Linked DNA regions of Oreochromis niloticus. The main gene of each other region encodes a partner of the protein of the gene in region 3 in a complex. Links are inferred from orthologs where the notes say so. Each region holds a gene or a part of one and is shown on either strand. Other genes may lie near its edges. The genes, in order: ppp1r8b, ttf2, akap17a and lg12h9orf78.

Region 1 (7,969 bases), on a different chromosome or scaffold from region 3:
ATCAAGACTTTGAATCAAACAATACAATTTGTCAATATTTGGTAACTTTTCTGACTTGTCTAACCCGGTAATATTAAATACTAATATAACAATGACCGTTGCATTATCACGTTTAAGCGCATGACTGGTGTGATCAAACTGCAATTCTTCTTTATATCCAGTTATTCTTATAAATGTGATTTTTAGTCCTTTTTAGTCCATTCTCTATTACATCATTTTCATTAATATGTTTTTGCTAATATTTTTAAAAAGGTCCAATGCGTGCCACTTTCTTGCAAAAACTCAGTTGCCAGTTTGGCATATCTTGTTTCTATTTATTTTTTGCAGCAAACGAGAAAGAGAGAATTCATAACTGCTACTACACAAGACAACTACTTCTTTTGAATGCTTGAATCCTAACCCTAACCCCGGCTCCAACAGTCTCAGTCGTTGTGTCCTTGGGCAAGACACTTCACACGCTGCCTCCTGGTGGTGGTCAGAGGGCCCGGTGGCGCCAGTGTCCGGCAGCCTCGCCTCTGTCAGTGCGTCCCAGGGTGGCTGTGGCTACAATGTAGCTTGCCATCACCAGTGTGTGAATGTGTGTGTGAATGGGTGGATGACTGAATGTGTAAAGCGTTTTGGGGGTCCTTAGGGACTAGTAAAGCGCTATACAAATACAGGCCATTTACCATTTAGCAGCCACCACCCACTCTTTCCCTTTCGCTGCCTAGCCAATCAATATGTCATCTGCTCCATCCTTAGGCTCCAGCCTTACCTACATCTCACTCGCTCCTCAGTGTGCTGTATTCCTAGCCTACCAGTAATCCTGTCTACTTCCTTCATCTCCCTGACTACTGAATATTTGAATACTTTCTTGTACTGTCTTATTCCATGACAAAGTCTCCTTGTCCTCTTTGCTCTGTCCAGACGATGCACCAAACACAGCACTTCAGCTGTATTTTCCCAGTCATCTGGTAAATTTATCCTAAGACCCAGAGCCTGTCTCCTCAACTCCTCCCTAAATTCCACACCAGCATTCTTCCTCCATAAACTTCCACCATGGAATCTTTGGCTCTGCCATCACTCTGCTCTTCTTCTAGATTTCCAAAGTCATCCTACAAACTACCATCCTGTGCTGCTTAGCTACCACCTCACCACCACCTTGCAGTTTCCTGTCTGTTTTGCACCTTCTGCAAAGGATATAGTTCGCCTACACCACCCATGTCTATTCTTTTGTTACTACAAACTGTCCTTCCACATTCCTCTCCTTAACACCATACCTCAAACATCCTCATCACCTCTGTTCCTTTCACCTACATGTCCACTGAAGCCTGGTCCATTCGCCAGCCTCTCCCTCCTTTGAACACTCTCTACCAACCTTCATCCAACTTACTCCAGAATTCATTTCTCTCCTTTATGACCTGCAACCTCTGGGTTACACGCATCGAGGCACGTGCAGCATTCAACATCACTGAGTATGTAATCTGTACATTATTATTTTTAAGTTTTCCATGAAATCAGAAATTACTTTTTTAAAAATGATAACTTGGTTGAACATCAACTCTGAATCACTATATATCAGTGCTATATACACATGGACTATCAGATACGTGCAGATGAAGATAAACAATAAGGTTTTCCAATTACAATCTGACCCTGATGCCTAGCATTATTGCTTTAAAAATTAACTGATTATCAAAACAATTAGAATATTGTTGTGGATTATTTTTGTCTATCCAGCAGTCTATTGTTCAACAAATTATTTGAGCGATAATGAGCACTAATGGCTGCACATAATAGATTAATTTTATTCCTTTTTAGCCCTTAGCTTTTTCAGAAAGTGATGTAGAGTATACAAGTATGACTGAAGATCGTGTCTTACTGCTGTTGAGGTCTATGAGGAAGACCCTTTTCAGGTGTTTGTGGTAGACTAGTGCAGCGTGAACACGAGAGCACGACTGATGGTCAATGGTGAAGTCACACCAGTCGGGGTTCCTCCCAAATAGGTAGTACTTCTTTTCATCTATGATCAGTTTCTAGAAGGAGAGACAAGAGTCAGTGACTTGGCCTTGAAAACAAGCCAGAGAAGAAGCTTGAATAACGTTTCTGTGCCTCTGAGCCATAACTCCACAGTGTTGCTTCCACTGAAAAGCTTAAAACTCAGGGCTGATGCTACTGTCGCACCGTTTGAAGCCATGCAGCCAAAGCAGACTGTCAGGCTCGTATCTGGTGCATTCAAGTAACCTACTACCAACATTATTAACCATTGCATGCAGTTCACAAGTATGCAATACTATAAATTGTTAGTCCAGTGTAACATCTCCAAACTTCCAGTTACCTCTATCAGTTTGTCTCCCTTCATCACGTCCAGGTGGAGCCCAGGGGGCGGTTTGCCTGCCCTAAGAGAAAACAGTTTTAAACATTAAAGCTGTCCAAGTTAATGTTATACGTGGACAGTGGATCATTATTATAAAAACATGGCTATACTCCATTGTCTCCCCTTGCTACAGTTAAGGATTTGTTCAAAAAAAACGAGTCACTCGACCTCTGCACTCATAGAAACGTGCTCAAGACTGATACTTTTACATACAGACAAACTTATTAAATTATATCCTGCGTATACATGTGATTTATTTCCTCTTTTCATGATCAGAATTAAAGCTGCACATAAACGACGGGTCTTAATAAGAAAAAAAGCCAACGCCATTTGTAGATACACACCAGCGTTAGCCTGCTTAGATGCTAACATTAGCTACTGTGAAAAGCAGCTATTCTCCTATGTAGAAAGTTACATTGATAATTAAGTGAATGCTAATCTGCTCATTTGCACCTGATATCACATAACAAGCTAACGGCTACAACTTTAGCACGTGCATTTTCTCACCATGATGGACAATCAAAAGGAGGGGGACTGTCTTTGCTTATTTTAGTCGCCATCTTGCCTCAGCTTCTCAAAGCAGAGCTGCATGCTGGGTAAACGTCACTTCGGATTACTGGGAAATGTAGTCCTGTAATACTGCCAAACATTAAATAGAATATCATACGACGTTTTCTCATTTATTCCGACTTTAACTTAAAATAAGTGGTAATAAAGAATAATACATGAATTTTCTAAGAATGTTCAAACCAATAAGGTGGGGGGGGATTAAGCTAACACCGACTTTGTGTTACCACAAGAACCAGCAGGGGTCCCTATTCCCCAAATTTCTAAGTCAACACTGTTAAAAAGTCAAATCAGATAAAGATAAAGGATATTGCCTTTCCGTGATCAGTGGTTTGAATGAAGATAGGAATGCGGGTCCCTCGGGGGTATCTATTTGGGGCAACGGTACTAATAGCTGGTGTGGGCGGACTCTGTGTCAAGCACTGATCTTCAGAGCTTTTTGTGGTTCTTGGAAACTCTGAGTTGAGTCAAACGCTAAAAACCGCTGCCTGCCTTCCTTGATATGTCAAGGTGGGAGGATATCTAGCCTCTCCTTGCTGCAGATAGAAGTGTCATAGGCTTAGAAAAGCACTAAGAGCAGGAAGTGCTGAGAGAGAAAGATGACACATGGCTAAAACGAATATCACAAAGAGCCTGAAATATTAGTGAAAAAAAAAAAAGCTATCAGTGTGTTCTCGCATCTGTGCTCTGAGAGTTTTTTCTTTTGCATTTTTAGAGGTTATCATAGTGCATGTATTTATTGAAGCCTTGCGCAATGTGTTCACACTGATTTTGGCCACAGCGTTAAGTAGAGCAGCTTGACTATCAAACAAGAAAAAAGAAATATAACATGTTCACACTGCAAAACTGCAATTGCGATTTGCTCCTTTTAAAGTCTTTCGTCCTCTCCCCCTCTCTCCCTCTCTCTCTTTCACTCTTACACACACACACCCACACAGACCCAAAAAATTAAGATGTATAAAAAGCTCAAAGTTAGGGTGTGAATGTTTCATTTTGTTTTTCGTAGCAGGCTTTATGCTGTAATCCCAAAAAATTAAATAAAACATCATTTTGGATACTTATTTACCACCTTCACAGCAATGAGGCTTTGCCAGATTGCTTTGTCCCCGTATGTGAATGCACAAGTTGTGCAAAGAGATCCTGTAACTTCCTCATTCACTTTTGTGGTTTTTAACTGAGAAAGCACCCCCGTTTTGTGCTGCGCTTGTCATTTGCTGCCTGCCTTCATTTTTGGTTGCACACACACAGAGGCAGCAGTGATGGCAGGCACCACTGCTTTGCCACTTCAGGAATTCATCGCGTCATTGGACGATAACTGTCTGCCAAAAATTTTGCAAGTTTGCTCTGGAGTATATTTCCAAGGTAGTTTTTTTTTTAATTATTATTATTAGTTTTCGTCAGTGAGATGGCGTGTACAGAAGGACGAAACTGACGAGATTATAGATTACTTCATTGCTGTGTGCTTCTCTGTGTTGTGTCTGTCTTGCATAAATTTAAAGTTACAATCTAGTGTACATTCCTTTTACATTTTGTACATTTTTAACCCTAAATTAGAAGTTGTTGTATATAAAAAGAACAGTGAGCATTTGTTGTGTTGCTCACGGCTCGCAACTGGAAATAATTCCCATTAGAGTCTATGCGTTCATGTGCTGGTTAAGAAATCTTAATCATTTTTGTTCCTTCAATTTCTTATTTTCTGTTCCAGGTTCTATATATGAAATTTCTGGGAGTGAAGTGTGCTTTTCCACTGGGGATCTAATAAAGGTCACTAAAATTGAGCTCCTATCAGTTTCCTGTCAAGACGTAGCAAACAATGAAACATTTGAGCTGCCTATCAGCCACACAGGTTGGTCTAGAGAAATTCTTGTAAGAATGGTTAAATCTATTTTGTAGAACTACAATGACTTTTTTTTTTTCTTCTCAGGCTTGTTCAAGGTCGTTCCAGAGGAGATGCCATACAGTACGGTAGAGGAGATGGTCAGCCTGAGGCCAGTAGGCCTCGACTCCTCTCTTCCCTTCACTTTCTCCAGCCACTCCAAGATGACCATTGGCAATTTAGCACTGGGGGCTGGGACAGCTTTGACGGTGCTCTCTGTTGAGAAACACAAGGATCAAGAGGATCAAGTCCGCTGCCTTATTCGAGGACAACAAGAAGCCTCAGCTGAAGTGTGCATCCCTGTTTCTTTCCGAGGGGAGTTCTATGAGTGTGAGAGTGAGGAGCGCTTTACCCTGCGGGAGATCATGTCCTCGTCGTCCCTGCGTAGCCGAAGGTTTCGCTTTGTCAATGCTACCAAGTGTGATCGGCCTCTTATCCTCAGTCCAGTATACCATGTCCAGGCTGTCATGAACTGTAAGAACAGCCTGCTTTTTAACTATTTAACTACTATTTAACATAATGTTGATCAGGATTTGTTATTTGTGTGTGAACCCTACAGTGCGCTTTGTTAATGCAAAGTTTGGGAACTTCCACTTTAACTTCCACCTTAATTTAAATTCTTCGCCCATGACATTTTATTGTTCCTCTATTTATGCATTATATAAGCAATATTTGTGCATATTAAAATTATACACTTGAAGCCAATGATAGTATGACATATAGTACATACTATGCTATAAAACAGTTAAAGTTAATGCCACCTTGAAAAACATCAGCATATCATTAAAAGCAATTAATCTATATGATGCACTGTATCACAGTTAAACACAGTACTTATAAGTATATATGCTTGTGGAAATGTACGTGCATTTTGCTTATATTTGTAACCTCGAGAATTTAAATTCAGAACAAAAAAAAGCACAGTTCAACTGTACTGCACTCATACCAAATTTAAATATACCTAATATGCTTCACTGCCTTCCTCTCTTTCTTCTACAGTGAGGAAGAATGTGGTGAAGTTCCCATCCAGCTTAGAAGTGGATGTGGTCGATGTCACCGAGCTGTGTAAAGATGTGAATTTTATTGTACCCCTTTCTCTGAGTGAAGTCCACTCTGAGCCGAATAAATCATTCCCTGGAGTGGTGGAGATCATCGAAGACCCAGAGACGCGCTCCCTGTTCAAGTGCAGCTGGCTACCAGAGCTCCGCAAGAATGGGCACCTGATTTTTCACAAAAAAGGAACCTCACCCATGATTTTATTATCCACTTTGAAGAGCAGGAAAACACCTCAGTACTTCCTGGTGTCTCAGCAATATGGTGGACGCTTCCGGAGACGGCCAAGAGAGTTTAATTCAGTATACGAGCTGTATGTTGCTTCAATCCACGCGCCAGGTCTGAAGGTCAGCGTAACAAGGAACTGTGAGGAAGTGGAAGAGGAGGGCCTCCCTGCCCTCAGTGTGGGGGAACAGCTTGAGGTTGTGCGTTGCGATAGGATGGTGTTACCCTGTGAAGGCAAATCAGGACAGAACCAGTCGGTAGAGGCTCTCTTGTGCTATCGCCTTCAAGAGTCGGACGATGAGGATGATGATGATGATGATGAGGATCAGGTGAAAAGGGAGGATGAAAAGGAGGAGATTATTATGCCTCTTTACATGGAGGGTCACTTTGTGGAAGTACTCAGTGACAACAAAAAGTACAAACTTTGTGACTTGGGGAAGCAGTTTAGCTTGCCTCTGGATGTTAAAGTGGTGGGCCGTGATACAGAACTCGAGAAGGATCCCCTCTATGGGTTTTCATGTCTCAGAATAGAGGCAGCTATGTTGGAACCCACCATTCAGGCAAGCTTTGTACACAAGCCAGAGTACTGTTTCGAGATCCCAACTCAGTGGCTCTCAATGTCTGTCTATTTTACTACAGACCCCCTCCCATGGCCCAAAGATCAACCCCCCAAGTTTCAAGTGGAAAGAGTTACCGAAGTTGCAGACACATTCTTTTATGAATTTCGCAAACTTGGTAACTCAGATGCGGAGCCGCCACCTCGACCACCAAAGCGAAACATGTCATTTTCGGCACCTCCCAAAAAAACAAAGAAATCAAAGAAGGCAAACAAATCCAAACATCAAGCAGACAAAAGCGTCCCAACCAAACAGTTCAGCGACTTGACTTTGAATAACAAAAAGAGGCCCCCCGCTCCACCACCTCCCGTGAGTGTAACTTTTCAATGCATGTATAACATTTTTGAAAGTTATTATTATAAAGGTTACGGCTCAGCTGAGGTTGTTAAGATTTTCTTGTCATGTCAGGTTTCTCTTGAAACCCCACTACAGGGAAACTAATAAACAGATGCTCATAATGTGACTTTCAGGAAATGAACTAAGCAAAAATAACAAATTGGTGCTTCCACTTTTTTTTCTGTGGTAAAGAAGCCATGCATGTAATAAAACAGAAAATTTCCTCTTTTGTGCAGGCTAATGAAGATGAGCCCCCACCACTTGTGCCCCGAAAGTTCTCAGCAGCTGACCAAACCATAGGCAAGGCTCTGCCAAACACTTATGTACAAATGAAGGAGTCTACTAAAACAGGTGGGGCTCTGTTTAATATAATGTTTTAAGAGAGCCACTGATTTGTCTCTTACAAAACTTATAGTGCAGCTGCTGGAGATTTATTGCAGCCATGGACTAATAAGCATTCTCTATATTTATATTAAAACAGTGTTTGCAGGACAACCTCTAAATTTGAGAAATTTTCACCATGGGAAAGAGTTTATATATGGTTTATATAAAGACCAAAAAAAGTTGAGAATACTGACAGAATACTTTGGCTTCCCTCTGCATCTCTAAAACAAATGTAAGTGTGACTTTTCACTAGCCACAGAGTCATCAAGACCACTAAAAGCACATAGAGTAACAATTTGTTCTGCCCTAACGCACAGAACTAAACTTAAAGTAAATGAATATGAAGAAGGGTTAAAAATCAGCTTCACCTGCACTATATACACAAAAGTACTGGGCATCTTTGAATTCAGAGGGTTTTAGTCCCATTTCAGCAGCTGTATAAAACCAAGCATCTAGCCATGCAGTCTGCCTTTGCAAACATCTGATAAAGAATGGTTTGTTCTCAAGAGCTCGTGTCAATAGATAGTCCACCATCAACTGTAACATATAGTTGAA
Region 2 (7,900 bases), about 15 Mb from region 3:
TGATGCAGGATTTTTAATGCTGATACTGACAGTTGGCCATTTAATTGTATTCTTTTCCAAAAACTCAACAGATTTTCCTAACATTAGTTGTGCCTGGTCATTGATTATCTTGTTTACTTTATGCTCTGTCCTGATCAACTTATAACAAGGTTGAAAGGCGTTTCTTCCATCTGGTCTTTTTTTCCCCCCACTTTTATTTATGGGCTGTTAGCAGTTAGCTAATACCAGCCAATTAGATATCAGCCCAATGATAAATCACATTGCTGGACTTGTAAACTAAACTGTACTTAACAGCTACCTCAGCCTACTTTGTCAGCTAGTGTAGCTAACAGTGTCAACTTTAACATTTAAAGAGAAAAGTACATTCTGAGAGCTTGCAGATTATTTACTATGATATAATTACAAGTACTACAAATATTCTTCGGTGTTTTGGGAAACGCAGCCTAAGAGTGACTGATATGAGTATATCGGGGCGGTTAATTAACAGATTTCTTAATGCGGACATGTTTGACATGCATATAATATATTTTTTTAAATATTATAATAATATTTGTATGTTAGGTTTTAAATCAATGCAGTGCTCATGCATGACATGTGTTGTCTCCTCTTCCCCTCACCTTTTTCTGCTGGAGCTGAACGGTGAGCAGGTTCTGCAGCCCTTTGGGGTTTTCCACCGGCTTTTTGATGTTAGAAGCTGGCTGGAATCCTGGGAAGTTGGTCAGCGTCTTTTGGACAGTAGAAACAGGAGGAGTCTTCTGCGGAGCAGGCTTCACAGACACCAGTACCACATCATCATCATCGTCGTTGTTTTCGGGACTGTTGGGCTGACTGGACTCTGACTGAGTTGGTTTGTCAGGTATGGGGCTCCTGCTGCTGTCAGAGTCTCTGGATGCATGGGTGCAGCTGCTCTTTTCTAGTATTTGTTTGGTTTCTTTCACCTGAGAGGTTTCGGCATCAGATGGTTGCTGAGTCAAGTTCCTGTGAGAAACTGGTGCAGTTTGATTGATTGTTTTGAGTTGATGTTTGTTTGATGACTCAGAATGAACAGTCTTGACGCTGGAGGAAGAAATGCCTTTTTCTTCTTCTCCTTGCTTGATGCGGTTCTGCTCGGGCGTGTCTTGAATCTTCTCGGTTCTTTTTTCAACACTGTTTTCTTTGGGACTGTTGTTCTCCTCATTTGAAACTCTCTTTTTTAACTTCATCCCCAGTGGAAGTTGTTTACCCCGGTAAGTATCCGACGACCTGTGCTTATCATCTGCCTTTTCTTCCACTCCTGCACCTTGTTGCCTTTCATTTTCTTTCTGATAACTTGCTCTTCCTTCAGCCTTGTGACTTGCTTCTTTCTCTTCATGTCTATTGTTCTGCAACTTTCTCCACTCAGAGTCCTTGTCTGCCTGGCTTGGTGCCTTAAAGGGGTTTCGTACAGGTGGAAGACATGAGGGCTGTAGCTGTGTGTCAGACAGAGGGCTTCTCTTTTCTGTTTCCGGCTGCAATCATGGAAGACAACACACTTTAAAAAAATATGTCATAGAAATTTACAGAAAAGTGTCTAATAACAGCTAATCCCTCATGTGGTGTTTAAAAAAAGTAAATAGTTCAGAATAGGAAAAATACTTGTTCATACCATTTAGCTACATCCTATTTAAGGCTGCAACTTATGATTGTTTACATAATAAATGTATTAATCAATGCATACGCCAGGAAAACCGTAAAACATTTACAGTTACACAGCATTAAAGAAAAAAACAACAAAAAACAACAAATACAAAAGAGGTAAGGATTACTTTTGTTTTGAGTGACTGACCAATGAATTGACTAATTCATACAAGCTTAATTATTAGTGGAGTAGTGAGAACACTAACTTAAAACTTTAACCGCATTTTTAATAACTAAAAACTATCTTTAATAACTGTCTCAATGCGATGGCCAGAAACCGTTGGTGATACAGATACTGAATGTATATAAAAAAACAAGTGTGTGTTGGGAAATCTGTGACAGCACTTACTGCAGTCCAGGGTACATTTCCACACCACCTCTGGCCTGCTTTTTTACCTACTGCACATCGGTAGAACAACCTGGAAAACGAGAAGGAATTTGCAGTTAAATACAGAGTCTAACCAACCTGGTATCTAGTCATATAAGCTGCGTATAAGCATGCAATTTCAGATTTCTTTCTAATACATACATACACACACACCTATAGCCCTGCTGTGGCTGACTGTAGCTGAGAGCCTGGAGTTCCACCATTGAATCTTCATGATGGAGGCAGTGTGATGGTGAAATGCTAGAGATATGATAATTCACATCAATAAAACAAATATTTGTGCAACACACACATTTGTTTATCAATAACTTTAACAATATGTCAGTGAATAACCTCAGATGTTTGGAGAGGGCCAGTGAGTATAGTAAAGTTGGCTACTGAGATGAATGGAACAAAAGCAATGTAAGGATATGGCCAGTGAATAGTTAAGAGACTATTATTTGGTTCAAACACAGTGTCAATGAATGGTTCAGGTCTGAAAATACAGAGGCCTATTGTCATCGGGGGAATACCTGGTTTGCTGACTAAAATCACAGCCTTGCTTGTCAACGCAGACGTAGAAGCTCTTGCCTTTATTGGGTCCGTCTTTTAATCCGGTTTTTAACATACACACGCCGCCTGTGACAAAAAGGTCTCTCTTTAGAAACACGTAAAAACTCGAAGTGCGGAATATTTAAACCGAAGGTTAAACTAATTATTAAACTATGTGGGCAGCAAACCTTTTTTGTCCTCAGGATAAAAACACAAATATAACCTCTTTAAATCAAACACAATATCCAGTTTACCATTTTATAACACATAATTAATCACCACTGACCGATTACCACTTACCGTGTATACTACATACAACCTTTTCCATTTTATCAACACATTTAGTTCAGTTCAGTTACTAGAACGTGAAGGGAAGGGCTGTATTTTGTATAGACCAATCGCAGCTCTCGGATAACACATCCGCTCTGCAAACGTCAGTATAAAAGTCAAGGTCCGAGTTATTTAGCAAAATTGTATTATGATGGACAAAGACATAATATATAATGATGTATTAACATTAAATACCGATAAATATTAAATACATAACAATATTAAAAAAATAAACTCAACAAACGCCAAATTGCATTTGCTTGATGACTGTTATTGTGAAATATATTTAACTTTTAACCGGATATAATATAAGCTAGTTCCGAGAACTTCCGTAAACCTGTTCCGTAGAAATTTTTTTTTTTAATACATGTATGCAGAAGTGACTTTTCTGTTTAAAAAACGTATGTTTTGTATATAAAAATCATTATTTATAATTTCTATGAAATAAAAAGACATTTAAAAAACAGTTAGGACCAGCGTGATGTAAGACTACGTTACCCACAATGCAACAACAACTTCATCGTTGGGTTTTTTGGTCTCGCGGGCTTTGTTTTGATATGGCGGCAGGCTTCGAATTTTTTGTTTGTTGCCTTTGTATAACGCCCGATTTCATCACAGTAAACCTGCTTTTCTCCTGAGTTACAGGTAATGTCGATGTGTTTTGCGATGCTTGTTAATGTTGTAGTGTCGTCACTACAGTGTAACATCCGGGAAAAGTTTTTATGAAATAAATAAAACGCAGCCTGCCAATAACGGGAGAGTGTCGACGAGGAAGCCAAGCCTTTTAAATAAAGCGACATTTGAGGAAAATGAAAAGAGCACTTCCACATTCCACGTGAGCCACATGTCATAAATGCCACCATTCTCTCCTATGTTTTTTTTTTAATAGACATTGTTAAGATTATTGTTCGTAACCAAATATCTGGAACTGACTTCTGTGTAGCAACCAGGACGGAAACCAATCTCGTATTAAAAAGGCAATGTCTTTTCTATATATAACGTCCCTATGTATAGCTTTATTGGACCTGGGCGTCAGCTATAGGGTGTTGGACGGTGTTTATTCGTGGCGTGATTAACCCTTAACCTGTCACCATAATCTTTCTCTTAGATCCCGGATTAGACTATCCTGCCTGCGACATCGCAGCCATCATGTCATCTCCAGCTGGCCTTCAGTACTCCCAGGCAGACTTGTTGGCCCGATGGATGCCAAGTAGCACCAGAGCCGGAGTGATCCTCAGTCCCTCTCCGGATTTGGCTGGACCCTTGCGGCACACCTCTGCCGTGGGATCGTCGCCCATGTTGCCAGACGATTCCTTCGCTTCCGACTTTGCCCCGTTGCCCGCTTCTACAGACAGCAGCTGCCTCGGTGTGGATGCATTTAGACGGGCAGCAGGAGGAGAGATGACTGAGTCTGACAGGCCGGTGAACGGTCTAAACTCTGTCCCGACGAGAATTGCAGATGGACAGCTGGACACTTTGGACGAGATGGCAAGCAAATCACAGGATCTGCCCCTTATGATGAAGCTTGAACAGGTATGGACATCAGTGCTTTTCAGAAGCAGTTGTCTCCTGTAACTTGAGACAATCAAGTTGTTAAAAGTAGAAAATAAATTCTTAGTGAAACCAAGAACATATGTTTGGCATATGTGACTAGCCCTGCTGTGCATCTGAGGAGATGGACTTTCAATACCTAACATACATGACACAGATACTGGGAGGATCTTTAGTTTTACTGGTTTATAGATACAGGGGTGAGACAAAGCAGAAAAAATGAACCTATAATTTATTTATTAATAATGTAAGAACATTTGGACACTATAATGCCACAGATTTCCTAATATATGCAAATTTTGGGCCCTGCGTGGACTTCATTGTTGATTACATCACTGCTTCCTGTATACTTAATGCACCTCCATCACACACACTCCTTTACGTTTCTCTGCTATTAATAGAGTTTTTCCCTAAGGCAATTATGTTGGCTGGGACACAGATGCAATTAAACACTTAGACTATATGTCAAATGGCAGTATGTGCAGCGCATGTGGATTGACACTGAGCTGAAACTAGTGGTACTCAGAAACATCTAGGTTAAATGTATCTTAAACCATCTGAAAAACATAGTGGGAGCTAAGCTAAACTACATATCGAATTAGAATTTAATGCAATATGTGTGTGCAGTTAAAGAAATGGCAGCAGCACATGCAGGAGCAGCTAAAAGCTCATCAGCTGGAGGAGCTGCTTCATCTCCAGGAAGAGCAGCAGAAGCTACTGGGAACGCTGAATGGATCCCAGCACTGCACAGGAGGTCAGAGAGTGAAATTACACGAACAACTGCGAAGTGATCATTTTGAGTTCAGGGTGAATGTGGTGTGCAAGTATGTGTCCTGTTTCATAAACTGAAGTGATGATAACCCATCTTACAGAGAGTTCAGAAATGTCCGGACCAGAGTGGGTTGAGGACACGCTCCACAGGTCATGTTACACACAGTGCTCTTACAGTCCTGATACAAACCACCATGGAGTCCCACGGGGCTCTATGATTGGCCGTCAACCAGAACAGCAACTTTCACTAGTTGTCAGACACGAGCAGCTACCCAAAGGTCAAGCACCTGAGGAGGGTGATGATGAGGAAGGGGGTAAGATATATTTAATATTTTAAATGTAAGTTTCAAATGTAAGGCCCAGGGGCCAGAATCGACCCACCAAAGACTCCAAACCGGCCCACTGCACAGCTTCACATGTGTGAAATGTGAAGGAGTACATTAGATTTGAATCATTTCACTGTATTTTCATAGGTTTTACAGCTCTTCCTATTTATAAAGACCCCTTCCATGTCCATTCATACTACACAAAAGTTGGTAACTAATAGATAAACAATTGAATGACACTATCTACCATAGAAATGCATTTTGTTTTTTTTTGCAGGTAGTCCACAGTAAAGAATAAATTTGACATGATATTTTATTACTACAGGACAGTCTGGGCTATACATTTCCAAAACATTTTCTATAATTTGACATATCTGTCATATAGTTTCACTCTTCCAGTTTACTTAAGATCAAAGTGGGCTGTATGTCTCCTACGATGTAAAACAAGTTTGACATCCCTGGTTTAGAGTAAGACATTTCCACAGTTTCTTGGTATTTGTGTTTTCTATAGAACAGCCAGTGTGGATTTGCCCTGTCTTTCATCACACGGTTCACATGTTTTCAGTGGTTAACCGCTTTGTTTCTGTAGGCTCACTGGACTCCAGAGAAGATGAGGAGGAGCACAGTGTCAATGCGAGCCATTTTTCTGAGGAAGATGACACGTTAATGGAACATAATGCTGTGGCAAGGACTGAAGACGACAGCAGAACAGAAGACAAAGTCTTTCACGACAGGTAAATAATACATAGTCTTGTATTTATGTAGTTCTAACATCAGACTGTCTCGACAGATCAGTGTTTGAGTATGGTTTTGTTTGCCTCCTCTCCAGACCTATAAGGCCAGGTATTGGGGGTCAAAAGCAGACATTTGAGGAGCTGCTTGAGGAGCAGCTGAAGCTGGAGGAGCAGAGGCTAAAGTCTGCCCAGCAACAACAGGTCAGAGGATGTGTCGAGTGCTGAAAAGTATCAATAATGAACCATTCATTTGAGTTTGCATTCTGCAGGTGACAACCTGATATAGGAATGTAATGTCTGCACAAATGGAGCCTGTCTGTATTTTGCAATAAAATACTTTATTTAACTGGAAAAACTAAAAAAATTCCAATTTACATTGAATTCAAATCTTGTCCTATTCCTTCAACAGAGTCGAGATGGAGCCAACGCTGCGCAAGCCCCTCCTAAGAGAGCCTTCTTGAAGCGAGGAGAGGGCCTTTCGAGATTTACAAATAATCGGAAAGCTATGTTCCAAAAAACAGATGTAAAGAAGGACTCCAGACCACCACCGCCTCAAGCCAGAGTAATCTCTCGCAGCAACTCGGAGCCCACATATATTCAGAAAGGAGCCGCAAACAGTGCCCCACGGCTTCCTGTCCAGCGTAAAACTGCTACACTCAACAAGGAGAACCGGTTGAAGGGACTCAGTTCACCACCCCACGATATGAGAGCAGTGACTAAAGTAGCACGGACAAAGGTTTTAGGTAGTCATCAGAGACAGAACACAGCAGGACCAGAGACTGTCCAAACTGATCCAGGTGGCAGACCAGCCAAACATCAGCTGGGGAAAGTTCTGTCAGTTCAGGCCGTGAAAGCCCCTTGTCTCAATGTTCAGCCGTGTCCTACAACCAAACAGGGCGGGAAGTTAGGACAGGCAGGGGCGGCTGAAAATGAAAAAAGCTGTGGTTCAAAAGGGGAATTAGCAGAAGCAGGAGGGGTTTCTAAAGGAGGAGACCCAGTTATACAGGATTCCTTCGAGTTGTCTTTTCAGAAGAAGCTCCAGCGATGGGAGTGCGACCGACAGCTGGAGAGCATGGAGCTGGGAGAGTTTGAGCTGCTGGAGCAAGCGGCTGAAGAGCTGTCCTTCTCATCTAACTCCTCCTTTGTCATGAAGGTGCTCTATTTCACTCACCAACTCATCACGCTTTAATTCAACACTTCAAATGCTGGAATGTTTGGATGCCTACTGTTACAATTTTTTTTGTCACACAGTTTTTTGTGTTGGTAGTATCTGTTTCCTTGTTTGTGTTGTTGGGATTCAGTATTTCTGCTGCCCTCAAGTGGTCAAAATCTGCTATTGCATTTCTAAAGAAATTACCAGATTGGGTTGCCTTTCTCCAGGACTTTACTGTTAGTCTTGTGTTATGTAGACATAACCCCTCTCTCCAGAAAACTATTACTCTGCTCATTCCTTGCAGGTTCTTCAGATGGATCAACAACGACAGCTGCAGACTGTGAAGGGGCTCCACCAGCGACGCCTCTCTTCAACTCCCATTAAATCACCTCCTAAAGGTGTATTTCAGAGGTGCAATAGTGTTGGAAACACAGGTGGCTTAGCAAGCAACTCTTTGAAC
Region 3 (6,876 bases):
AAATTTATACACACAAAAAAACCCAAAACAAAAGTATGTAAATTTTTATTAATTCAGTAATTTAGACCAACTTTGGGGGGGATAGTGGATAAAGCAAAACAAAATATAATCCAAGAATACCAGACTGATAAACCCGTTGGTGAGTTTAAGGGCTTATTCGAGTGCTTCACACATTTCAGAGTGGTTTACTATGATTACAACATTTTATAACCATGCTTAGTCAGGAATAGTCCTTCCAGCTCTTCATTTGAAAACTAAAAATATTACATCCATGGCAGATTACTGTGTCAACACAGATTTTAAATAAATGAATAATGGACAAATATTCCAGTGACACAGCTACAAATACAACATCTTTTCTGCTCTACAAGTTTTAAGCTATTGTCACAGTGCATTTAATATTTTCACTTAAGAAGAAAAAAAAAGCTACACTCACTGGTAGCCTGATGGGAAAAGGAGGTTGTTTATATTGCATAGAATCATTAATTTATCAGCATGTTTATCAAACAAACCTCTCAAGGCTGCATGGTTCTCTATACTTGTCCTGCTTAATACAACCATATTTGAAAGGGCACTGCATTAGAACACCTTAATAATGAGTTAAACTCCATTTTTCTCAAAACCCTGGCATTTAAAGTTTGTACGAAGAAATTTCTCTCCCAGCAGTGACTGAACATAATTAAGAAAACAACATTTTTAGTTGATGGATTAAAAAAAAGTCCTGGAATGATTGGTCAATCAATTAAGAGGTAGAAAATAAAATCAGCTTTAATATGTGTAGGCAGAGGCTTGACACTACTGTAGTCTGCAGTACCTTGATGTTGCAAGCCACGGCTTTTCCATCATCTCCTTTCAGCATCAGCTTCATGCTGCGCAGAGTGTCCATGGCTTTTGTGAAGCCACAGTATTCCTGATACTGGACATACCCTTCAAAGTTCAGATGGCCCCCAAAGCTGAATGTGCTGAAGTTCTTGCCCATCATTTCCTCCCTATATGGGTCCAGCATGGGAATGTCAACATTTCGTACCTTAAAAAAAAAACAAAAACAAAAAAATACTAATGTTTTAACTTTTTATATCGACATTTATTAGTTTCTTGTTTAGTTAGGCACTGCTTATGTCTATTTTTTTTTTTTTTTTAAATTGTGAACTAAAAATGTGAATATTAAAAGCTTAATTTCCTTTTAGCTACACAGAAACATGAATGTGAATCACCTTGCCGAATGTCTGGAAAACTGCAATGAGGACTTCTTCTGAGGGCCGATCTGGGTACTGGCTGTCCTTCTGACTGAACCAGCGGCAAGGAAGCCCTTCTAGGTGGATGGTGTCAGGCCTCTCACCTGGTAGTGTCTCATTCATGTCCTTGGCATCACGGAAAAAAGAATCCCAGTCGTGACGTGTCGGGAAGTCCACTTTATTTTCTACTGCACGAACCTAAAGGATGAGAGGGTGAAATAAATATACTCTGCTGTCGGTTTATTAGTGCAATTTAATTCAACCTGTAATCAATCTTTGGTAGATAATAATATAATACTTAGAACTAGCTGCCTTGCCTTTGGATAGTTGTTTATTTTCAAGGTAATTTCTTTGAACTGCCAAATTACAATGTATTGACAAAGAGTTACAAACAGTTTAAGTACATTTAAGTAGCAACAACAAACTCCAGTGACTCCAATAACCATGCAATTACTAATTATAAGTACTGCAATGCTCTAAATTTGTTCACCCTTACCTTCAGTACATCAGTAAAGCCACTGAGTTTGATGCTCTTCCCATCCAAACGACTTAGCAGGCTCTTGACTACAGTCTTGTTTTCCACTTCACCTTCAAAGCGGATGAAATCCATTGTGCTCTTGGAGATTCGCAAGACTGAAAACTGCTCCGGGGCCACCATGGCCTTCACCCGCTCCATTACCTCCCAGTTGGAGATGCTTTTGCCTGGCAGCTTGAGCTGGGGCAAAGCCACGCTGATGGTCATTTTGGCAATAGGCTTCAGGTACAGGTTGTACTCAGCAGAGAGGCACACTGCCTCTGTGGTATCATGTACAATGGTGGTCATTGCTGCAGAGAGACACCGAAGCTGCAGCAGGGGGAAGAAAATAAAGATTTAGTAGTTATTAAACTCTCTTAAAACACAGATAAAACATGAATAAGGAGCAAACTCAAAGTAATAAACTAAACTGCGCATGTGCTACGAGTAGTCCTCCAAAACCAATAATCAAACTGCAGCAAACATCGGCTCAAACACAGGCCTCATGCCAAACGATTAAAAACCATTCTCAACATTATAAAACCCATTATAATTAGCCTTCGCATTTGGCTTGTTATACAGTAGTGTGACAAGTCCTCGAAAATTACACAACAAATGCCATGTTAAAGCATAAAGCCCCTTGCGCCATCACAACTTCATACTGCTACCCAGCTAACCAGCTCCTGTGCATTAACGTTCAGTTAACAGAGAGCATATAGGGTGACACAACGACAACAGTTTGTAGGAATAATAATGAACGGTGTCAGGACTACGCTACATATTTCTGGGGAACGGTGTTCACTGGTTACACAAACGTTAGCAAACTCAATGTAACATTAGCTGAAAGCTAACGCTAAAGTCTTCGCTTCATCCCGAAGGACGACAGGCTAGAAAGCTATGAAATTGAGTAAACAGCGATCTGGTTAACGTGATTAATTTAACGCTATTAAACTGCAAACTGCGTATTATTATTTGTTTACTGATTATTTGTTAACGTTACGGTTTTTACGAGTTGGGTCCTAAAACGTCACCGCTTTAGACAACAACATGCTAACGTCAGCTAGCACAGAAGATAACAGACTAGCCACAACCTACCAAAATCACTTAGCCCCCCCGTAAAAACCGAAAATGCAAAACACAACAAACACACTGTTGTAATTTAAGGTGAGCCATACACTTGAGAGGCATACAGAAAATCGAGAATCCAACTACATGCTACTTCCGCACGCAATGAACTCCGACCTTCTAAAGAAACCTATACCAGCGCCCACAGCGACACCACATGGATGAATATGGCGGTGAGAAAAATGGAAAAAGATCTCTTAAGTTGAATTCAGTTTAATATCAATATTCATAGCAATTTTCTTCTTGGGCTGCCTGGTCGCCGGGACAGCGGATCATTTGTCGCCATTGCACACATTTCCTAGCATGTTCTTTTTTTTTCTTTTTTTTTTAATTAGCAAAATCAACATACAACAAAATGCACCATATATTATACAATCAGAAAATACAAATTTCAACCTTTGTACAAAGAAAAAGAAGATATAAAGACGGGGTCATAAAAGTTAACAGAGTATTAACTCACTAAATCAAAATCTTCCAAAAGGGAACCAAAAGATGCAGCCTTTTTCTTTTTAACTAAAGTCAAAGATTTAACCAACAGGTTTAGATCGTTTTTCCAGTGAAGTAGGGTTGGTTTGGTCGACATTTATGTATATATTGCTTGCACAAGATTAATAAAACATTAACACCATAACTGACTTTCCTTCAGAAACACTCCAAACAATATCACATTTAAGGTAAATGGGGTAATTTGAATCCCACTCGATTGAAGCCAGGCATGAAAATCCAACCAAAAGATTTGTATAAAACTGCACAAAAAAAAATAGATGGTCCAAATCCTACTCTTCTGTTTCACAAAATACACAATTAACAGTTTCTATCTTAAAACTATCACCAAGGAACCTATTTGTTGGGTACATTTTATTTAAAATTTTGAATTGGACTTCTTTCCCTTTAGGAGGGATAGGGAAGGTGATATAATTAGTTCTTATTCTTTCAATTTCTTCCTCTTGGAAATCTTTTAATATGTAATTACGTCTAAGTAAATTTGGAGAATAAAGACTCTTTAATGAAGATCTCAGGAACTTATTATTGTATTTAACATTACAAAACTGAATACCATCTATATATAATTGCCTTAACTTGAGGGAGATGTCAGAATATATTATATCACTTACGACTATGTTTTTAAGTGACAATGGAATGGATTTTATAACCCGATTAAAATTACTTTTAGAACACTGGATATTAAATTTTTGGCCAAAATCGTGATGTCCTGTCCTTCCTCATCTACAAAATGAGCAATTGCCCAAACACCTTTCGATAACCAATCTTGAATAAAAATAGATTTTCTATTCATCAGTATATATCTATTGTTCCAAATTTGGCAGTTATGTAGAGTGAAATTATGTTTAAATATAATTTTCCAATAAAGAAGGAGCTGTTTATGGAATTCAGAGAGTTTAACAGGTAGCTTAGTAATTTCAAAGTCACATTTTAGGAGAAAATCGATACCCCAGTTTGTTAAAGACCTTACTTGGTATAAGAAACCAAGCGGAGTGAGGATTATTTAATTTCAAAACACCATTCATTATATCAAAGTCAATTGGCCTAGCATGTTCTTCTGCTACAACAACCCTTTAATTACATCCAAGAATCTTCTGTCTGGTCTTCCTCTTCTCTTCCTGTATGAAGGAGTATTAGGGCCATGTTAAGAAAAAAATATGGTGTCGGTCATTTTGAGAATAAAGTCAAAATTTCGAGATCAAAGTAAAATAGAATTTTGAGAAAAAAATCAAAATGTGGAGATTACAATTTCAAGACAAACAGCTATAGTTCCTACACCCCCTGAGTTAGTGAATTGGTACTTCTACTCAAGGCTTTTCGTAGAAGGTATAGCAAACCTGGGAGTTTGTCTTCAAACAGCAACCATAATCTCCACCCTTTGGCTTTTGTCTCAAACTAGTATTTCAACTTTTTTCTCAAAATAAAATTTTTGACTTTATTCTCAAAATGATCAGCAATATTTTTTTCTTAATGAGGCCCTCCTGCCTGGGAGCTCCATGTTCAACATCTTTTGTCCAATATGTCCACTCTCCCTCCTCTGCACATGTCTAAGTCAGCCTTGCCTCTCTAACTTTGTGCTCAACCTGAGCGCTCCCTCTGACATGCTCATTTCTAATCCTCTCCATCTTCTCAACAAAAATCTTAACTTCTTCAGCTCTGGCACTTTCGCCTTGGCCTCCTATCTTTTTGTCACCATCTCCAAACTATGCATCATAACAGGTCTCAGTGCCATCTTGTTAAATCTTGCCTTTCATTCTTGCTTCGATCCTTTTATTACAAATCCCCCTGATAGTCACACCACCCACAACAGATACCCAGAACTGTCTGTTGCTTTAGATGGCTGACACCAGGTATTTAAACTTATCTACCATCAGTACCTCTCCTCCTTATATGTTCATGGGGTGCATGGCGGTCTGATGATTAGCACTGTCGGCTCACAGCAAGAAGGGTTTGAATCCAGTCTGGAGCCTTTCTGTGTGGAGTTTGCAGTTCTCACAGAGTATGCATGGTTTCTCTTTGAGTACTCAGCTTCCTTCCACTGAGACCTTTTCTGATGAGGCTTCAGGGAACAGTAGACGGGTCAGATGCATCTGTGAGGTCTTCACTTATGGTTTTTACCGGGCTTACAAATTACTTAAGACTTTTGGTGTAAATAACCAAGTTTTATAGATACATATATATTAGCAGTATTTAAAAAGAGAAAGAACACACACCCTGCTATATATTTCAGAACACACATAATTAATACATGATAGAAACTTTGGCAATAATTGTAATCGCCCTCAATTTCATTATTTATTAGTAAATCACTGATATAGTTTATGCAAAAAAATGTTGATCAGTATCAAAAAAGGGTTCAGGCTGGATTCACTGTACTTTTTTATATCTGCCACAAGACAAACAACACTCTGATGACAGTACAAATTTGTTACTCACTTGATGTCTATTTGGCACTGTTTGTGACTCATTAGGGTTTGTCTGAAAGCCATCATCACTGTGGTAACTGTGTGAGATAAAAATGGACCGGACTTGGATTGGTCCAACAGTGGAGGCCCCAGGCTAAAAAGTTGGCACAGTTTCCCTGAAAGGATGGCAGAGGAATTTGCATAATAGGCATTACTCCCTTCACTGTGCATGTAGGTCAGTTACTGCAGTCAAAAAGGCTCTCTATCCTGTCCCGATCAGCAGTTATTTAATAGACAGCCTGCCTAAGGCAAATCTGGATTCTACATAGCCAAAAAAAAAGCACATCACTTCTGACCACTATAAATCCTTATTTGACTTCTAGATCAGGGAAACCCCAGAGATTACAGAATCATCAAAGGAGCTGACTTGACAGCATTCAGTTTTATATAAGAAGCATATTGTGTGATACATTGTGACTGTTTACATGTAATCCAGCTTTTATATGGTTGGTTTGATCTGGGAAACACGAAGCAGAGAACAGACAGGGTGCCAGAAGGACATCAGAGCAACAAGAGGATTGCCAGATCTGTAGTAATCTGTTCAGGCTCAGGCACTGAGAAATGTATCGTAACCCCCACACACATATGAAAGCTTGTGGGCATTAAATTTCTCTGTACCCTATACTCTGTTTACTTTCTCTAACCAATGGCAAAAATAACATAACAGGGAAACACAAAACTGCTTGTCCTCTTAGGTTCTTTTAAGTATATTAAGATAAACAACATAAAATCTGATTTTAAAGTATTTGCAAAAATGGATTAAATAGAGTTTATATCCCAACAGCAGCAATGTTGACTTTTGGTCAGTCTGTATAACAAGAGGTGCAAAATAAGAACTGGATGTTAATCTGTCTGGTGGGCTATGTGGGCAGGAAGTTGTGGATATACTGTAAATGCCAGAGCAAAGCTGGGGTCGTCAGATCATCAATTATTCAGCATCAACAGGCAAGGACAATCAGCTGGTGTCAGCAGGAACAGCGGATGAAGCGACTCGCTTCAATTGTATTTTTAATCTATTCTGGTGACATTAACA
Region 4 (7,893 bases), on a different chromosome or scaffold from region 3:
ATACATAAAAGCTCTTTACAGCTCAAGTGCTGAACATGAAATATAAATCAAGATGTCAGGATTAACATCTTAAAAATTAACAGTGTTCTAAAATCAAATGAGAGAAAGACAACAAACCTGTTCCACTGATTCAACCTCAGGTACATAAAATTGTAGCATGTTTTGGATGCCACTCTTCAAAGTCACAATTGAACTGGGGCAACTGGTGCAAGAGCCCTGCAGCTTGAGTTTAACAACGCCATCTTCAAATCCGCGGTATAGAACATCTCCCCCGTCCTCTTGCACAGTTGGCCTGACCGAGTGAGAACATTGACTGGTATTAGGCAAAAAAACAAAAAAAAACAAAAAAAAAACAAAGCACAGGAAGCAACAGGCCCTGAGATCATACTGCATCTTCATGAGTAGTTACCTTATTCGAGTATCTAGTAGTTCTTTAATCATAGCAACTACCTCGTCGTCATCATCTGATGGTGCTGAAAGGAGAAGCAGAGATTGTTGTTCCTCAGCATTCAAAGCAGCTTGTTATTTCTGTCCAAGTCGATGTTTTGATAATGGGCAGGCCACAGCTGTTTGAAAACCATACCTGTATCTGGGCTTGGCTGGCTGTCCTCGTTTACAACAGGAAGCCCGGAGGTAAAAAAGTCCATAATGGTAGCAAACACATCAGGCTTAATTACCTTCCATTCCAAATTTGGGTCGGCCTAAATGAAGAAGGACGAGAAACCAAGCTATTCTTAGTTGTGGTATGCCAAGCTGTGCCAGTACCAATTCTTACAAACTGGACATGGCTTTACCTTCGTTATGGTAATAAAGTCAGGGCCCAGGAACACACTCTTCACTCCATCGATCCTAAACAGCTGCCTGAAGACAATCACTGAGGTTTTATTATGCCACACTTAAAGATAAATTTTACACTTAATACAGGAGGTCGTGCAATGTTTGTAACAAATAAATACACACATATAGACATGCAAATTGTGTTCAGGTACCAGTCACATTTATTAACATAATATTTTAATGGGAATAGAATTAGAAAATAATATTTCTGTTCAAAATTGCTAGGTAGAGGTAAAAGCGTTACACTGAGGATCCGAATCAGCAGCGTGCTGGGCTGTGAGAAGAGAGGTCTACTGTTTCTGTGCATAACAGAGGTTACACCTTTTTTTTTAATATTTGGTAAGAGTAAATGCTGCCTTGGTTACTGCCCTACCAACAAGGCATGTACCGGTAAATCAATCTTGTCATGTGACTAGCAGAAGTCAAACTATTAATCCATTCTTCTTCTGGCTGCTCCTTTTAGTTTTTGCCACAGTGGATCATCTGCCTCCATTTCACTCCATCGTTCTCCACTGTCACACTAATGTCCTCCTACATGACATCTACCAACCTTCTCTGGAGGTCCACCTATTTTCCTCCTGCCTGGAAGCTGTATATTCAAAACCCATTGTCCAGCATATCCACCATCACTTCTCTGCACATGTCCAGACCATCTCAGCCTTGCCTGGCTCTCCAACTTTGTGTTTAAACTGCTCAACCTAAGCTGTCCCTCTGACATGCTCATTCTGATCCTGTCCATCCTGATCACTCTAAATAAAAATCTTAGCATCTTCAACTCTGTCATCTCTGGGTTTTTTTGTTTGTTTTTTTTTGTCAGGGTCACTGTCTCCAAATCATACATCATAGCAGGTCTCACTACTATCTTGTAAAATGTCTCCTTCACTCTTGCTGCTTTTCTTCTGTCACAAATCACCCACTCATCTCCATCCACTCCACCCAGTCAGTTATTCACCTGTCTTGTGCACTGTCCAGCGCACTGACTGCATGTATTTAAACTCATTTACCTACATCTGCTATGCTAAGATGACTGTTTCACATCAGGCATTTCTCTCAGACCAGTAATCTCACATACCTGGCTAGAGGTGAGCAGTGTGCCTCACGAGGGCCGGCAAAATTCATAGTTCCTGTTTCAAGAACTGTCCGGCCAGGCAGGAACTTCATGCTGTTTGGATTTGGTGTATCCTGGGTCTGCACAAACATGGTTCTTCCTGGGCAGAGAAAAAACAAAGAAGAAGAATGCAACATAAATCACCTGTTTTCATTACACGGTGTCCTTATTTTGTGCAGCAACTCTTTACTTTATTGAACTGCAAGGCTAATGTCACATGTCCTACAGGCACCTGCTCAAACAACAGCTGCATCTATTGGGTTCAAGACAATCACTCCAGTATAAACACATTCAATGTTACACATGTGATTATTATGGGAAGCAACAGGAATACAAACCAGGAACAATCCAGATGGGGTTTGAGGGCCATCTGTTCGAAACTCCTGTGGTATGTGAAGGCAAGTGTAATCCAGTGCTCTGAAACCCACTGACAGCAAGACTGAAAAATGCAGCAGATTAAGACATTTAATACAACGCAACTCACACTGATAAATGAATGGTGTTAGAAATCCAAATGTCAAGCACCCGTGTCAGCCCACTTCATCTAATGCCTTCCTCTCTGGAGTGGTAAAGTACTGACTTCAAAACATGAAGGTGTGGTGAGACTAATCCACTAAAATGATTTGGTGCACAGTGTTTGTACAACTAATAATTTGTAGCCGAGGTATTACAAACTGTTGCATAAGGCAACATGTAAAACAAACCAAAGGGGTCATGCAGAGCTTAAAGCGTTACACTGTGCAGTCAGTATTTGTCTTACTTTAGCCAAGAAGAAATCATTTCACTGACAACTAAACATGTTTTTTTTCTTTATAAGACATTTGATTTACAAAATAGAAAACACAGACAAACATAGTACAATTACAGGGAAAAATGGCACAGTATATGATATGCAAGGAAAGTGGACAATAGCAGAAATCTGCCCGTTACTTTTATTTGGTGTTTGATGTGCCAGAACCTGCTGTTCTGCTGGGATTTTCCTAAACAACCATATTTAATGTTTAAAGAGAATTGTCAGAAAGAGAGAAAATATCTGGTGAACAATGGTTCTCTGGGGTAAAGCACACTGTTAAGGTCAGAGGTCAAATGAGAATGAACCTGAGCTGATACAAAGTCAAACGCAAATAACAACTTATTACAACAGAAGAGCTTATCCAAATGCAAGACACATTGAAGCTTGAAACAGATGGGCTACAGCAGCAGAAGACCACACTGGGTGGCACTCCTGTCTGCTAAGAACAGGAAACAAGATACTATTTACACTACCTGGTCTCATGAATTTCAATTTCTTTTTTTAAACAATGTCTTTTTATTAAGAGTTTTTCTTTGTACATATAAACAAAAAGAAAAGGATTACAGTTGATCTGTACATTCGGGATGAATTTCAATTTCTGCTGCGATATTTGGATAGTACGGTCGGATTTGTCATGGCTCCATCCTGCCTTGTATCAATGGTTTAGCCTTCAGGTAGTGTAGCAATCGTGCAAATTTTTTTCTTAGTATACTTTGAGCCCCTTATTTCCATCTGAGGATAAATTGGGAATAAGTGGAATGACATGCTGCTGACCATGTCCATCCCTTTGTGACCACAGTTAGCCTGTTATAAAGGCTTGCTTCTTTAACCCTTTATTTACAAGTGCTCTTTAAATGACAGTAACTATTTCCATTTTTGCTAAAGACATAATTCAAATGGTTCCAGAAGAAAGAGAAAACGGGCTTAATGGGATACTTAATTTATCATGGTAGGACAGGAAATTCACAAGGTAAAAAACAAACAAACAAACAAACAAACAAACAAACAAACAAACAAACGGCCTAAATTTTACCATGTGAACTTCACATTGCCTTAACTCCTCAACCATTTTGGTCATGTCATGAAGAATTGAGGCAGTTCTTAAGGCAAAGGGGGTCAAACCCAGTACTAGAAAGACGTATGTAATGACATGTCTGAGTGTATAAGACCGTAGAAACACCAGCAGAAACAGAGTAATTGTGAGACATTGTCTCTTATGGACAGTTATTTTAGTTTTGCCTTTTGTAATTAATTGTTATTTATATTTCATTTTGATGTTTTAATTCAGTTTAGTTTGAGTTAGTTTACAAAGTGAGTTTCCTCGTTTCACTTCTTTTTTGAAAATGTTTAGTTTTAGTTTAACTTGTGTCTTAGTTTTAGATTGTTTTTTTTTAATCACTTATTGAATTAAGGGCATGTGTTGGAGGCAAGATTTAGTAAAACCAGCACAGTTATAAACTTCCTAGGTCTAAATAAATATATCTATCAAAACCTGATAAGGCAGCATTAACAATTAAAAACAAAACAAACAAAAAAAACAACAACAAAAAAAACAAAACAAGCTAAGCGATACTAAAACATGTAATACTTTTGTTTAACTATAATAACTTATGGATATGAACTGTCGACAGTAACGGTGTCGCTGTGTACACCTCAGGATAATTCAGAAAAAGCAGATTAGAATCGGGCTAAAGTTTTAGCACTTATGCAACAAAACCAAAAACATTTTTTAAAGTTTGAAAAGGTTTGTCGTGGTTGATACTGACCACTTTAAAGTGTTAATAAGCGGCTGGTGGAGACGCTTAACGCAGTAAAACATCCCCACACCTCCCTGCTCTGTAGCTGACTGTCTGCGTCACTCCGCCGTTTAGCCAGCGTGCTACCATTAGCCTGACCCTGATGCTTAACATGCTGACGCATTCATGCACACATGATATAAAGCAAAAACAGAAAACAATGCAGATAAAGATAAATACAAAACCACTTACGGACGAGAAAGTCTTCCTGAAATACCCAACAATCTGCCGACCTGCCTGTAAGTCGCCATGTTTGTTATGGTTATCTAAACAGGACGGAAGTGGCGCGGTAAATAAGGGGACGTGACGCACTATTATTGTACATTTGTTAAATCGTCCCCCCTCTTATCCCAGCAGTAGCTACACTCAAGTGCAGCTTCTAGAAAAGTCTGAAATAATTTTGTGTAGTATCTGAAAAAAAATGCCGTGTGGCAAAAATTTTAGAAGGAGAAAGGACTCGTCCGATGTGGAGGAGGATGAGACCACCGAAGAAGTCAGGTAGAGCCGTCTGTTTAACCACAGGAATAAAAAAAAAGCCGTTTAGAGTAATGCTATGCATGCTAATGCTAATCGCTAAACGCAGATAGTTTGTTGTCGCATTTTATATAAGCTGCCCAGGTAATGTGTTTGCAATCGTTTGTGTTTCATGGATGTTTAGGCATAAGTTAGAAGAGGCTAAAGAGCTACAAAGTCTGCGCAAACGACAGAGCGGAATCAGGTAACGTAAATAAATCAAACTACGAACACGTTTCATCCTGTTACTTTACATGAAGTTTTACACAGTCAGATACCGAATCACAGTTTTTTATATTTCTTTTATTTAGTGTGACCGCCTTGTTGGTTGGAGAAAAACTTCCACCAGAGGCTGAAATTGAGGTAGGTAGTCAGTTTTGTAAAATTTATATTTTTTTAAAATTGTAATATAGCTTCATTAACCAAGGTGTTTTGGTTTTTGAACTTACGTTTATTAAAATTATTTTGATTATTCCTCACAGAATGACCCATTTAAACTGAAGACTGGGGGAATTGTTGACATGAAGAAAGTGAAAGACAGGAATAGAGACATGTAAGTGAGTTTTTAACTATTTTTAGCATAATTGCTCTACGCTGTGCATTGATATGTCATCATTTCATGTTATGTATTCAGGACAGAAGATGAGACAGACCTCAACCTGGGGACGTCTTTTTCAGCCGAGACAAACAGAAGAGACGAGGATGCGGATATGTATGTGTGCTTTTTTTCTTTTTTGTTGTCCCATCCCCTTACTCATATTATGTATAAAGACACGCTTTCACCCTCTTCCACTTTGGTAACAAGAATGTAATGACTTAAGTAAAAGAAATGGGTTCAACCCAACATGTAAGTCTATCATAAAAGCAGACTTTTTTTTCCTGACACTGACATGTAAAAATCTAATGTAGCTGAAATTATTTTATTTTATTTTTTTTAAATTGACAGCATTTTGTGTTGGTCAAATAGTTCCAGTTATAAGGGGGATTTGATTCTGATTCTTTTCCCTCCACTTTAGTTAGATATAGCACAGATTACATAGAAGAGACATTTCAAATCCCCAGCATTTAGGACAGAATTCGAGATACCCTCACACTTGTTTACAACATGGTTTTATCATAAATTTATCCTCACAGGATGAAATATATTGAGACGGAACTAAAAAAGAAGAAGGGCCTGGTGGAGGCTGAGGAGCAGAAAGTTAAGGTGAAGAATCCAGAGGACCACCTGTATGAGCTGCCCGAGAACATCCGAGTCAATTCTGCCAAGAAGACAGAGGAGATGTTGTCTAATCAGATGCTGAGTGGCATCCCTGAAGTTGATCTTGGCATTGAGTATGTACTGAGAATATTCTAGTAATCATCTACACTTATTTTAGAATCAGCAAGAGGAGTCTTTTGACTAAAACTGCATTTTTGCATGAGATATGGCATGAACGAATACTGCTTTTTATTAATAGCTTTACTAATAAAACTTGTGTATGTAATTTCTTTTCTAGTGCAAAGATAAAGAACATCATCCAGACAGAGGATGCAAAAGCAAAACTTTTGGCAGAACAAAGAAACAAGAAAAAAGACCACGGCACATCATTTGTACCCACGAATATCGCTGTTAACTACGTCCAACACAATCGATGTAAGTAATCTGAAGAGAGCGAGATATTCCACACCTAAATTAAAGCAGATAATACTAAACAAACTGACTTTTTCTTTCAGTCTATCATGAGGATGCAAATGCACCGCAGAGACACCATAGACACAAAGAAGAACCCAAAGCAAGACCGCTGCGTGTGGGCGACACAGAGAAACCAGGTCCAGAGGGTAAGAGACTCTACAGATACGCTCACTGCTCAGTACATAGTAATAGTTTACAGCTGGATAAACAAAAGAAAATGGGTGGGTGGAATTACCTCGGCGAGCGGGCAGTATGGACACTCGGCTTTGTGAACATGATAACTTGAGAATGAAGCAATGTTGGATTTTCAAATTGATACCATAGGTGCATCTACTATAACTCTTGGATGAGTTCAAATATTGGTGACCCTGACTTTGAGATCAAAGTCAGAGGTCAAGTTTTCTGAAAATTATCTTAGGAATTTGGAGATTTTATCATCTCCAGTACATAATGACAATAATTTCACAGAATCAAGAGAAATCTCTGCACACGAAGGGAGAAGGCTGTGACCTTCAGACCCTCATGACACAATAAATTAAAAACAGGCATGAATCTGTAGTGGAAATGACTGCATGGACTAAAACACTTCAAAAACATTGCCAACTCAAAATTTAATAAAGTCTAAGTTGAAGTGGAAAACTGTCCTGTGGGCCAGACCTGTCAGAATGTGAAACTGTTGTTTTAAGTCACTGACACTTGTGCATTTCCAAAAATAATATTTCTCAGTTTCAGGATTTTCTTCGTTTTATCCAAGCTAGATAGAAACTGTATTGCAGTCACTGCAGTTAATTTACTTTCAATGGCTTCCCCATTTACTTGTGTGTCTGTGTGGGGATTTATTCAAAATCTTTTGAAACCTTTAATCTGATTTCGAACTTATTTGTTCATCCACAGCTCCGTCACCACCAAACTACCGCAAACGTCCAAACAATGAGAAGGCTACAGATGACTACCACTATGAGAAGTTCAAGAAGATGAATCGGCGATATTGATGAGATGGATATATATAAACATTTTAAACTCAAGATTCATTTGAGGACCCCAAACGGCTTTTAATGGCATAGCTCTAACATCAGGGCAACACTGTGTAATTATTGTATATAGCTCCTGCTGTTTGTCTGTATACAATACAGTTGTTAATGTCTCAGATGATTTCTTTTGCTCAAGATTGTCT

Evidence for each region.
Region 1: akap17a (region 3) and ppp1r8b share a complex: the UniProt entries of both Homo sapiens proteins name them as parts of the spliceosome. The link is inferred for Oreochromis niloticus from reciprocal best matches to the Homo sapiens genes AKAP17A and PPP1R8.
Region 2: akap17a (region 3) and ttf2 share a complex: the UniProt entries of both Homo sapiens proteins name them as parts of the spliceosome. The link is inferred for Oreochromis niloticus from reciprocal best matches to the Homo sapiens genes AKAP17A and TTF2.
Region 4: akap17a (region 3) and lg12h9orf78 share a complex: the UniProt entries of both Homo sapiens proteins name them as parts of the spliceosome. The link is inferred for Oreochromis niloticus from reciprocal best matches to the Homo sapiens genes AKAP17A and C9orf78.

Annotation. Positions count from the first base shown.
Region 1 is NC_031976.2:26,286,151-26,294,119, forward strand, and holds the start of ppp1r8b (protein phosphatase 1, regulatory subunit 8b), read right to left. Parts: upstream 3,009-7,969; 5' UTR 2,917-3,008; coding exon 2,864-2,916; intron 2,858-2,863; exon of another isoform or gene 2,701-2,857; intron 2,379-2,700; coding exon 2,318-2,378; intron 2,215-2,317; exon of another isoform or gene 2,084-2,214; intron 2,016-2,083; coding exon 1,862-2,015; intron 1-1,861. Other genes in the region: protein THEMIS2, read left to right, coding at 4,183-4,285, 4,629-4,769, 4,848-5,273, 5,799-7,003, 7,267-7,381. UniProt on the Homo sapiens protein: Inhibitor subunit of the major nuclear protein phosphatase-1 (PP-1). It has RNA-binding activity but does not cleave RNA and may target PP-1 to RNA-associated substrates. May also be involved in pre-mRNA splicing.
Region 2 is NC_031987.2:27,398,322-27,406,221, reverse strand, and holds the start of ttf2 (transcription termination factor 2), read right to left. Parts: upstream 3,004-7,900; 5' UTR 2,904-3,003; coding exon 2,876-2,903; intron 2,663-2,875; coding exon 2,557-2,662; intron 2,285-2,556; coding exon 2,186-2,284; intron 2,076-2,185; coding exon 2,006-2,075; intron 1,488-2,005; coding exon 618-1,487; intron 1-617. Other genes in the region: cpap (centromere protein J), read left to right, coding at 4,055-4,438, 5,084-5,210, 5,329-5,541, 6,143-6,287, 6,383-6,488, 6,697-7,440, 7,745-7,900. UniProt on the Homo sapiens protein: DsDNA-dependent ATPase which acts as a transcription termination factor by coupling ATP hydrolysis with removal of RNA polymerase II from the DNA template. May contribute to mitotic transcription repression. May also be involved in pre-mRNA splicing.
Region 3 is NC_031987.2:12,402,044-12,408,919, reverse strand, and holds the start of akap17a (A-kinase anchor protein 17A), read right to left. Parts: upstream 3,011-6,876; 5' UTR 2,845-3,010; intron 2,080-2,844; 5' UTR 2,059-2,079; coding exon 1,732-2,058; intron 1,592-1,731; coding exon 1,553-1,591; intron 1,434-1,552; coding exon 1,215-1,433; intron 1,028-1,214; coding exon 815-1,027; intron 1-814. UniProt on the Homo sapiens protein: Splice factor regulating alternative splice site selection for certain mRNA precursors. Mediates regulation of pre-mRNA splicing in a PKA-dependent manner.
Region 4 is NC_031977.2:13,550,467-13,558,359, reverse strand, and holds the start of lg12h9orf78 (splicing factor C9orf78 homolog), read left to right. Parts: upstream 1-4,876; 5' UTR 4,877-4,955; coding exon 4,956-5,032; intron 5,033-5,192; coding exon 5,193-5,252; intron 5,253-5,358; coding exon 5,359-5,410; intron 5,411-5,529; coding exon 5,530-5,600; intron 5,601-5,681; coding exon 5,682-5,759; intron 5,760-6,181; coding exon 6,182-6,379; intron 6,380-6,543; coding exon 6,544-6,680; intron 6,681-6,760; coding exon 6,761-6,865; intron 6,866-7,613; coding exon 7,614-7,711; 3' UTR 7,712-7,893. Other genes in the region: NFU1 iron-sulfur cluster scaffold homolog, mitochondrial, read right to left, coding at 118-292, 410-473, 584-701, 795-861, 1,910-2,045, 2,284-2,384, 4,727-4,785. UniProt on the Homo sapiens protein: Plays a role in pre-mRNA splicing by promoting usage of the upstream 3'-splice site at alternative NAGNAG splice sites; these are sites featuring alternative acceptor motifs separated by only a few nucleotides. May also modulate exon inclusion events.